3 linked regions of the Coturnix japonica genome follow. Each later gene encodes a partner of the first gene's protein in a complex. Links are inferred from orthologs where the notes say so. Each region holds a gene or a part of one and is shown on either strand. Other genes may lie near its edges.

Region 1 (3,748 bases):
AAACAACGAACATATGACATTCTTTTCTGTTCTTTTTAAAGAGCACGGTCTCATGCAGTGGAAACAGAAAAATACCATCACACTGCTCTGAGCAGCTGGCTTATCAAATCAGTCAATAGTATGAAGCAAAACAATCAATCTGTTCCACAGAAACCTTTAACCTGTACACAGTACGTATTACACACAATCTGTTAGAAATAATGAGCAGAGGATTGCTTGCTAGATCTCTGATTAAGCAGAAATCTTCATCTTCCGTAAAATGAGAGAACCACATTTAAAAATGCATTACCAGAACATCAATGCTTGACTTAAATCGACAGTAATAGGATCTCGTTCAAAGTTAAGCCTCAATTAATCTAGCTGCACTGCTTATGGGCAATGTTTATTACACTGTTTGAAGTTAATATTATATAACCTATTAATATTTTTTAATTTGGGGGGGGATGAGGTAGAGGGGAAAAGAAAAGGTCTGATTCTTCTAATTCATAATCTAGCATCAATCCAGAACAGATACTGTCAATAGCCATCAATCTGTGTGCTGAGCAAAGAGATGCCGAATCAGATCTTTAAATGTTGAGACAACTAGATACAAGCAGAAAGCTTGAGCACTTGCTTTGGTTTTCCTTCATGACTCCAAAGCTTATTGTATTTTTTTGAAGGGATTGCTGGTTTGGATACTAACCCTGAATGTACACAGACAGAGTAACACCCCAGTGCCAACCTTCCTGGCCAACATTTCTGGACTTACTGCTCCATTTCCCTGTCTTGTTTGCCACAAATACTAATGCACGCTGAGACAATCTCAAACCAAGTAACTAAAATACCGCACATGAACAATCTCACCGACCTATTAAAAGCACAAAACAAGAAACTCAGCAAAAATTTTTTCGTACCTGCATGTCTTTTATGCAGCTGGTAGAGAAGCTGCTTCTAAGAAGCAAAAGCTAACTGTACCTTAAAGATGGACACAGCTTTCATACTGCAGGCTTTCTGAGTTTAAGAGTGCATCACTGTACATGACTGTGGCTCAAAATGGTATCAATGAAATCAGAAGCCAGTTCCTTGACCAACTAAAATGCATTTATAACCAATACTGTGCTTATCTCTATTTCCACAGTCTTGTAAGGGGCCAGCCTTCTGTCTGCAACAGCTCAACAGTCTGAAAAGCATTTATATTTTAAGTAAAGACAGTGTTATAATGCAAGACAAATGCTTCAAAATGCAACTCACAGCGCCCAAGAAAAACTCAGACCAATAAACTGCACGACCCGTACCACGCAGCCGACCTTGAGTTGCCATTACTTTGTGAAAATCAGGTTAACCTGAAATCTCTCAGATCCCCCAACTTGGGTTACACGGTTCCAAGGGAGGGAGGCAAGCTGCTTTTTGCTCTGTTTCTTATTTCAGCCACTAAACATGCACAGTACCCTACCCAAAGTGCATCACGACGACGCATTTTCTGCTCTTGTCTTTTCTATGGTCTCCCACTACAGCTTGCATGACGCTCAGTTTCTGGGTTTAAATATGCACTAATGCACCAAAGAACCTTCTGCCACCCATCACTTTCATGCACTGAGCTGCTGGGCAGCTCCTCCCCACTGCCTAACACGGAAAAATGTGAATGTGTCCGTTGCTTTTTGTTATCTGCACATCACTAAGATGTAACACACCTGGAGAACAAGCAGGTTCTTTGTCAGCACCAGCGTCTAGGAAAACAGGGTGCTGCTGCCTGTTTCAGCCACGGGGCTGCAGAGGCAGGTGCAGCCGTCTCGGATTTGACAGCAATGCAGCAGAACTTGAGGTATTGTGACAGGGATATTTTCCAGGGCAAGCTGCTGGGGACCGCAGGCCGCATCCGCCAAGCAGGCGCAAAATCGCTGCGGCACGGGGCGAGCTCCCGTCAGCGGGCACAGCGCGATGGGCGCACACCGGGCAGCAGAAACGCAGTACCCGGCCTGCCCTACACCCACAGCAGCTCCGCGCACGCACAGCCGGCGGACATCCCTCTGGTTGCTCAGCAGCGGCGAGAGCAGCCGGGTCTGAAACCAACTGCAATCCTACAGCCCTGCAGGAGGGAGAGCAAAAACGCTGCAGATTTCCCAGCCGAGGCCCGAGCTCCCGCATCTCCTACGAGGCAGGCTTACGTACGAGGGCGGCAGCACAGCACAGCGCTGCCCGGACCGTCCCTACTAACGCTGATCCTTCCAGAAACAGCCGCAACGCGCGGGGCCACCGCAACCCCGCCATATCCGGGCCCGCCGCCTCCCCCGACCCGCAGCCCCGGGCACCGCAGCCCGCCCGCCGCTCCCTGCCGCCGGGCACGGCGCACGGGGGAGGAGGGGCGGCCCCGCAGCTCGGCCCGAGCGGAACGCACAGCGCCGAGCCGGCTGCACAGCCCGCACCCGCCCGCCGCTCCTCGCTCGCGGAGCCCCCACGAGGGAGGGGCGGCCCCTCCCGTAGCCGTGCCGATGGGCACCGCCAAACGGGGTCCCGATCCCGCGCCCAGATCGCGGCCCGGCCCCTCCGCACCTGGTGCGGGTCCGCGCCGCCTCCTCACCACGCAGGGCGGCTCCGGCGGGGCTGGCAGCGCAGCGCGGGGCGGACAGCCCGGCAGGCAGCGTCTCCTCCCGCCACCATCTTCCTCCGGCCGCCGCCCCCGCCGCCAGCACCGCCCGGCACGGCCCCTCCCGCCGCTCCGCGCCGCCCTTCGCGTCAGCGCGTCGGCCGCCGCCCTCCTGGTCCCGCGGCGGTGCGGGGCGGTGCCGCCATGACGGGCTGCGCTGGTGGGAGCCGAGGACATGGTGGCCGCGGGCCGGGCTCATGTCCGCTCAGCGGGTCCCCCGAACGCCTCCGGTGACTGGGAGAGCCCGGCCCGGAGCCCGACCCTGCCGCGGGGGGAAACAGTGGCTGCCCGGCAGGCCCCGGGGCAGCCCTTACCGCCCAGCGGCGGGCAGAGCTCCGAGACAGGGCGCGCTGCGGGCGGCATCGAGCATCCGCCCGGCGGCGTCCGGCAGGCCGCGGGGCGCTGCCAGGCCCATCACCCACTGCCCTGCCGGGAGGGCTCACCAGGGCGGCTCGCTGCACGCAGCTGCTTATTCCCTGTTCACACATACAAACGTGGCATTAGTCGGAGGATATCGTGGTATTCAAAGAGAACCATTAAGGATCATCGAGTCCCAGTTCATGGCTCCACGCAGGACCACCTGAAACCTAGACCATGTATTGCTAGGAGTGCTGTCTGGATGCTCCTTGAACTCTGTCTGCTTGGTGCTGTAACCACAGACCACACCAGCATAAGGTGAAGAACCATTCCTTAACACCCAGCCTGACATTCTCCTAACACAGCTCCATGCTGTTCCTTCAAGTCCTTGAGAGAATGCCTTACATGTGTGGTATTTAAAGCAATATTGGCTAGGTAGTAATGACTAAAATAAGTTCTCCTATGAGGACAGGCTGAGAGAGCTGGGACTGTTCAGCCTGGAGAAGACAAAGCTCCAAGGAGATCTGATAGTAGCCTTTCAGTATCTAAAGGGGGCGGCAAGAAAGAAGGGGGCAGACTCTTTAGCAGGGTCTGTTGTGATAGGACAAGGGGAAATGGTTTCAAACTGAAAGAGGGGAGATTCAGATTGGATATAAGTAAGTTTTTTACAGTACGAGTGGTAAAGCACTGTAACAGGTTGCGCAGAGAGGTGGTCAGTTCTCCATCTCTGGAAGCATTCAAGACCAGGCTGGACAGAGCTCTGAGCAC
Region 2 (3,748 bases), on another chromosome or scaffold:
TATGCTGATTAGGACATGTTTAATTCCAGCAAATGCTGCTTTTTCATCTTCCTTGAGTGCGCGTAATACTCCCATTCAAGTCTCTCATCTGAGTGCCAATTAGCCCCTGTGGCAGAGCACATGAAATCTGACCAGGGGTAGATAAAAAAGGATAAAGCTGGAATAAGCTTCTTGCTTTCCACAGTTCAAGCACAAACAGTAGATTAGCTAAACTTGTGTATTTCTAAAAGGCGACATATTTGGCATTAGCGTTACACAGATATTCATAGAAAATTTACTGTTATAGCTGCATTTTGCTTCAAGAAGTCTGTTGACAACATGGCAGATTAAAAGAGCAAGCCTAAGGGTTACGACGTTCCCTATGAAAAACAACTAATTAACCTGGCACCTTGCTTTTAATATTATTTAAACATAATTTTACACGTGTACCAATCAGAACAGTTCGAGTGTTGTCACATTACACTGTTACAGCTCCAAACGTGAATTTCTTCCCTTCTAAGGTTGGTGAACCCAGTGTGCAGCAGTGTGACTGTGTAAGAGGCACTGTTAGGCTTTACGTCGATCCAGCTGCTCCACAAGTATATAAAGTCTACAAAATAGAAATCCTCACATTAATTTTGATCTTAAAAACTGTTTGACAGGAGCTGGTTTCTTGATTTTTTTTCTCTCTAATTTTAATACTGCCATATGTATTTTTAATCTCTTAAAACTTTTAGTGACAACATTTCCACAGCTTCCCTAGCTAACTACCTCTACTACTGCTTAAATACGCCGGCAATTACAGCTGTTACCAATGCACAGTCTGCTTGTGCTGTATTTTCACATTCCCTGTGCTGTGCCCCCAGTAAACGAGAGGCAGAGTGCTACATTCCTCTCTGGGTTAAAGTTTTCCCAGTTTTGGCGTTTCTTGGGCAAGTGCAGCAACGCAGGTACTGCACAGGACGGCAGTCAAAGGGGGCTCAGGTCTCCACTGTCACTTCTCTGCACACTTGCTCACAGTGGAAGGCAGCACAACTGCACGTCCCTTTCTGGAGAGGCAGAACGGCTGCCCTTGGGCTCCGGGCTAAGGACGGCCAGCACAACCAGCCCTGCACGGCTCCACCGCTAAGCTCAGCTTGAAGGATGAGCGCTCAGGCCTGCACAAACTGAGCACATCCACCCGCACGATGTGACCTCGACTCACGATCGACCTCTCTCCCTTTATGCCTTTCAAGCCCGAGCTGTGGAACTGTATGGGACGCGTTCTAGGAGATATCGAGCGATACCCTGAGGACGGCCCGGAGCACGCAGAAGCCCATACGCGGCTCCGGGCTGAAGACGGTGCTGACTACAGCAGTGCCGTCCGAAGGGCGGCGCGAGGAAGCCCCGGTGCAGCGCAGCCCTGCGAGGGGCTCCGCCGTGGGCTCTCCCCGCAGCTCCCGGCTGCGCTCCCGCAGGCGGCGCTGCGCCGCTCCCCGCCCTCGCTCCGCTGCGGCACCCCCGGGCGGCGGGGCCACAGACGGACCGCCCCTCGCCCGCCGCCCCCGGCCCCAGAAAGCTGTCACCGACGCCGCCCGTCCCTCAGGGCCGTGAGCCCCGGGAGTCCGCTCTGAGGCGAGCTCGGCGGCCTCCCGCCGGGTCCCGGTGCGCACCGCAGCGATGCCGGCAGCCCGCGCCGGGCCCCGCCGGGCCGCCCTGCGCACGATGCACCGCGGAGTCCCGTCCACGTTGAGCCGCCCTCCGCTGGGCGCCCTCTCCGCCCCGCTCGCCTCCTCCTCCTCTTTTTCCTCCTCCTCCTCCCACGGAGCCACCCTCCTCCTCCGCCCCCTCTCCCTGCCAGCCTCCTCCCCGCCCTTCCCCTCGCTCCACGCCGGTGCCGGAGCCGCGCGTCACTCGGGCTCCAGCCCCGCCGCAGACATGGCGACACTGACCGCGGTCCAGCCGCTCACGCTGGACAGAGGTAAGAGCGGCGGCTGCCGCCCCCCGGCCCGACCGAGGGAACATCGCGGGGCTCCGTGCGAGGCGGGCGGCGGGCGCTGCCGTGACGGCCCGCCCGTCCCCGCGCCGTAAGGGCTGGAGGCGGCGGGTGGGTGGGCAGGGTCTCCCCGCGGGGCTCCGGAGCGAGGAGAGGAGAGGAAAGTTTGTCCGGCGGCGCGGAGCGGCCGGGGGACGCTGGTAGGGCTGCACGGCGAGGGCTGGGGCTGCGCGCAGGTGCCCCGCGGCCGTGAGCTCGGTTCTCTTTGCCTCGCTGCCGCTGGAGAGCCGCAGCACATCCGCACCTGTCCGGAGACGGCACCGCGCTTGGGGCGGGCGGAGCGGGCGCCCGGTTGTAAGGGGAGCGTGTGTCGGCGTTTGGGGTCGGTGCGGGAGTGCTGCGTTGTGAGCTGACGGTGATGGTATTACTCCGTGTGATGGTATTACTCCGTGTGATGATGCTATTACTCCGTGTGATGATGCTATTACTCCGTGTGATGCTACCCTGCCGGGGTGCTGTGCATGCCTGCAGGCTGCTGCTCCGTCCGCGGAGAGAGAGCGGCTGATGTTTTGCTCGCCTTGAGTTTGTGTCAGCAGCCTGACCGAGGTAATGAAAAGAGGTGCTGAAATCGTGAACTTTTGTTTAAATTCAGTTTTCGCCTCCAGGCTGTGAAAATTGGACGGCTCCCTTGCGATGCATTTGCGCCGCTTGCAAGGCCGAGCAAAAATGCTGTTTAGTTTCTGTGGTCACAGAGGAGAAGGACTTAACCTGATGTCTGATTTGTTTTGCTTCTGTGGCTCTGTGAGTTAAAGAGGTCACACAGCTCCCAAAACAGTTTCTTGAGTTGCAGATGCATCTTTCTTAACTTCCATCAAGGAGCCCAGTGGCTCTGAACATGTATAAATCTTGTACTCTTGAAAGCACGATTTAGGCCAGTGCCGCTTTTTCTTTTACATGCTCTTTCTAGAGGATTAAGACAGGCTTTCAGAGCAAGATAGAGAGCATCTTCCTGTAAATCCTATGCAAAAGAAGCCTGATGAACCCGGTTTCAAGGTGAGAAAGATGGTGCAGGGACCTTTACTGGAGCTTTACGAGAGCAAAGCAGTCTTCAGAGTTTCACAGAATCACAGAACATCCTGAGTTGGAAGGGATCTGCAAGGATCATTGAGCCCAACTCCTGGCTGCACACACAACCGCCCAAAATCAAACCCTGTGTCTGAGAGCATTGTCCAAATACTTCTTGAACTCAGTCAGCTCAGTGCCTTGACCACTGTCCTGGGGAAGCTGTTCCAGTACCTGACACCCTCTATTGATGAACCTTTTCCTATTGTACTCTAAGTACAGTTTGCTGAATAGTTTTAATTTCAACGTTTTTAGAAAAGGAGAATTTCAAGTTATTCTTACTGAAATAACAAAGCGTTTGTTATTGGCATGCGCTTGAAATTAAACAGTTCAGAAATCCACTGTGTAATCTACAGTTTCACCCTAATACTGTTTTCAGTAAGCAGGACAAATCTATTTCCTGGCAAAGAGCTGAACAGATGGCAATCCATTAGCAAACCTGGCTTTTCTAAGGAAAGTATTACTATTTCAGAATTACGCGTTTCTTTTCATCGCTAACACAGTGCTTTAAAAAAAATCACAATACACAAAAATGCAAATTAGTCCAAATTTAAATGTAAACATCTGTTGTCTGTGTCCAGAATATGCCTAAATGTTTGGCAGGGGTGCTGGTGTTATGGACTCCCTGATTGTCAGCCAGGGCTGACAGTAGCGTGAGGAGATATGGCATCA
Region 3 (3,648 bases), on another chromosome or scaffold:
GGTTTTGAAGCTTATAGCACTTAAGTAAAGATAACTGAAGATAACACCACCTTGTTTTTCCATCTTTCTACAGCTTTCATTAAGCAGTAGTGCTCCTACTGGGATAATGACAAAGAGCCCCTGCTCAGTCTACCATCATGCATTATAATTTACTACTTACCTTTGAAGCTGCAGAAAACTAAGTTAAAACCTGCATCATCAAATTGGATAAAACAGGAAGCCATAATGGTAGTTCAATACTATTTCAGAACAAGACCTACCAGATTTATACAACTTTTCAGAATTTGAAACGTTGACATAAATAGTACCCATCCCAGTTGAAAAATGTAACCAAAGCATAATCCAAGAACTCTCACTGCACAGAACTAGGTTCAGAAACCTAAGGAAGATGTTCTTGAGAGGACAATAAGAAGCAGTTTTGCTAGGATCGAAAGACAACCTCAAGCTTGTGCCACGAATATTCTACGTATGCCCCCAAGTGGAGACAAGTAGTTACTGCTATAGAAAGTGAAAAAATTCCTACCACTCCGTTTACAGAAAGGAGCTGGTCTCCACGTTTCAGGCCTCCGTGCCTATCAGCTATACCACCAGGGATAATTCGGGAGATATAGATGGGAGAATTTTGTTCTTTGCCTCCCATGATGTTGAATCCAAGACCTTCTTCGGTTTTTGGCAGTTCAACCACTCTGGGATGCGAATGACCTTCACTAGCAGCAAATGCAGCTACAGTGGCCTGTAAAAAATAAGATCTTGCTATTTACACGACTACAAACTCCTCAGCTTGACACAGTGAGCAGGCTGAAAAATTAGTTTCATCTTAAAGTGCTAAAATATTAAGAATAATCAGATCAATTTCTTAAACAACATCGGGATTAAAAAAAAAATTAGAACTCAACGAAGACAATATAAGTGGAAAAAACTTTTAAAAAATGTCTTTTGTTATCCCTTTTAATGACCTCATATGTTTATCTATTTGACCAAACATCTAGATAATACATTTCTGGATTTTAAATACCTTTCCTCTGCTTCTAAAGTAACAAATTAACACATTTTACTCAAGTTTGGCGTTTACCTTCGCTGTTGCATTAGCTCTCACTTCTGGGCTACTGCTGATATCCACAGTTTCATATACGTGTTCGTACACCTTTAAAGATAAGACAACTTAAGCACGGTGAAAAGAGTTATTTTTCTGCTTAGGTAACATAACAATCAGTTACAACTTAAAACTGCATACATGAAAAAAACCAAACCAAACACCTTTAGCAAATGACTCCCTGATTCACTGCAAGGTGCCAAGTAAAGTATCTACCATACTATGAAGAAACAACTCTCTCAATATCTTTACTGCTCAGATAAGCCACACACATTCTAGGTCTCAACCCAAATCCTCTCACTCAGTAAGTATACAGACCTCACCACAACATCTGACAGCAGATGTGGGTGACTAACTTCTCATATTTGATTTAATTGGACTTTTCCATAAGGGTGCATGAAAAATTATGCAAGGGTGGATCTTCAAAGCTCACCCAACAATCAAATCTGTATTTCCCTTCACCTGATGCAACCAACTGAATACATAATGAAAATAAAGGCTATTGAAAACACAAAGGCCATAAGAATACTAATGCTAACTGGGTTAGTGGTAGCTAACACAACAAACGCAGTCCTTCATAAGATGAAAACATCAAGAGGACTTCCACGTCCACAAACAGATCTTGCAAATTGTTGCAGGTGTTATCAGCAGTGGTAGCACCATCACCGCCACCAACAGGAGGATGCATTCAATCATCTCAAATTACTGAAAGAGCATCAGGAACGAAGATGAGGTGTGCAAAGCTATGATGCCAATCTAGCTTAAAAGAAAAGGCAATTTATACTTTGCCCGTTCTTACCAGCCAACAGGATAACAGGGCACTACCTGCCAGCAAGGCAGCTAGATAACCTCCAAATAACCTCCAAGAAGTAATTTGTTTATCAGATACTGTTTAATACAACACACCTATAGTACCCCTAAACTGTTTTCTTCTCAACTTGTAAAAAATAAGCCGTCTTCTATAAAGCTCCATAAGTCAAATTCAGTTTTTTGAAGTTCAGTGCATTAACACTTCCACTTTTCAAGGTACCACTTTTAATGCAAGCTAATTGCTTACACAGTTAACTTACCTCCCTTACAGCATTACAGAATTCACTCTGAAGGACCCTTTGCAAAGCCTGTAGTTTCTGCGGTGGCACTTCTCCACTTCTCTGTAATTTTTCCAGCAATTCAATTGCTCTGCAGATATCTACAGAAAAAAACAAAAATGAAGTGTTCATTATGAGCAATGCCTGAAAAGATCCTACTGGTGGCTTTGTTTGCTTTTGCTTTTTAAACAAAGTTAATGCGGTAGCACTGTTTTGTATGCATAAAACTCCGTAATTTATGTAATGTATGGCTATCATTTTGTCAAAGCAATCTATAGTATCACCAAGCAAACTAACATACCTTTTACATTCAAAAACTAGTTTACCAGAAATACACCCAATGTTTTCCCTACAAAAAAGGCTGACTTGGGCATGAGTAGTCTGTAATTATATTAATTGGATGCCAAACAGCAGCTGGAATGGTAAAAACTTGATTAAACCTCATAGCAGTTTGAAAATACTTTCTTACTTCCTCCACCTACAATGTGCCTGATGTATCAAAGCGCTAGGAAAAAGAACCCAAATTCCTCCACGATCTCTGCTGAGTGTTCTGTAGTAAAGATCCCCAAACTCAACATTTTTTCCTCATTTCTTGACATGTCCTGAAAGACCAAAACTATCAGTGAAACCAAAATTTCATCTGAAGAATTTGATTTCAGACCAGTACCGAGCAAGATGGGCATCAAACATGGCATCAAAGCTATGCGGCGTTCTGCAGGCAGCTCTTCAAGAGTAGCAAGGATTAATATTCCTCACTTACATTTCTAGAGTGACCATTCTTCTGAATCACGTTAAGTCCATGAATAGCAGTAGAACAGTCTCTCAGAAAAGCAGGTAGACATTATGATCTTCGTTATCAGAAAGGCAGACAGAAGCAGTGATTAATCTACCGCATAAATAAGGCATAGATCATTCTAGAAGATGAAGTCTGGAGCATGATTATGTCCTAAATACATTACTTCCTCTTTTCCATAATTAACCTTCAGGGAATCATTTTTCACGTGGAACATCTTCTGTGCTGCTGTAATGCCACTAAATAGACAAGCAGCCACCACAAACTTCAAGACCAATGTCTATCTTGTTACACTCCGAAATTGAGGTGCACTGACAGAAGACAACCCACAGTTCATGCTGCCCACTTCTGTAAGGCATCAGTTAGATATCTCGCAGACACTCATAGCAGCCGCTAGAGTCATTTAAAGATGGTATGATGTAACTTCTTGAACTGGTCATCCACCAGCACAGTTAAAGCTGTGTTTGTATCACAGACAGGATGTAAATCACTCATGGAACAGCACCCGAATATTACAGTTGCAGTCGCACGCATTGCTTCAGATGAGAGCTCAAGTTCATCCTCACTATTTAGGAAGCATTTTCAATTTGTTAAGAGGATCAGGTATCTAAGCAAATACGCATCACATTTGAAACCCCGGCTATTGCTAACTCCAAGTCTGCTGTGTTTGCTGC

The links.
Region 2: APBA1 (region 1) and LIN7A share a complex: the UniProt entries of both Homo sapiens proteins name them as parts of the brain-specific heterotrimeric complex. The link is inferred for Coturnix japonica from reciprocal best matches to the Homo sapiens genes APBA1 and LIN7A.
Region 3: APBA1 (region 1) and LIN7C share a complex: the UniProt entries of both Homo sapiens proteins name them as parts of the brain-specific heterotrimeric complex. The link is inferred for Coturnix japonica from reciprocal best matches to the Homo sapiens genes APBA1 and LIN7C.

What each region holds. Positions count from the first base shown.
Region 1 is NC_029547.1:31,216,817-31,220,564, forward strand, and holds the start of APBA1 (amyloid-beta A4 precursor protein-binding family A member 1), read right to left. Parts: upstream 2,683-3,748; 5' UTR 2,530-2,682; intron 1-2,529. UniProt on the Homo sapiens protein: Putative function in synaptic vesicle exocytosis by binding to Munc18-1, an essential component of the synaptic vesicle exocytotic machinery. May modulate processing of the amyloid-beta precursor protein (APP) and hence formation of APP-beta.
Region 2 is NC_029516.1:36,419,075-36,422,822, reverse strand, and holds the start of LIN7A (protein lin-7 homolog A), read left to right. Parts: upstream 1-1,559; 5' UTR 1,560-1,638; coding exon 1,639-1,939; intron 1,940-3,748. UniProt on the Homo sapiens protein: Plays a role in establishing and maintaining the asymmetric distribution of channels and receptors at the plasma membrane of polarized cells.
Region 3 is NC_029520.1:3,029,641-3,033,288, forward strand, and holds part of LIN7C (protein lin-7 homolog C), read right to left. Parts: intron 2,283-3,648; coding exon 2,164-2,282; intron 1,145-2,163; coding exon 1,073-1,144; intron 734-1,072; coding exon 524-733; intron 1-523. UniProt on the Homo sapiens protein: Plays a role in establishing and maintaining the asymmetric distribution of channels and receptors at the plasma membrane of polarized cells.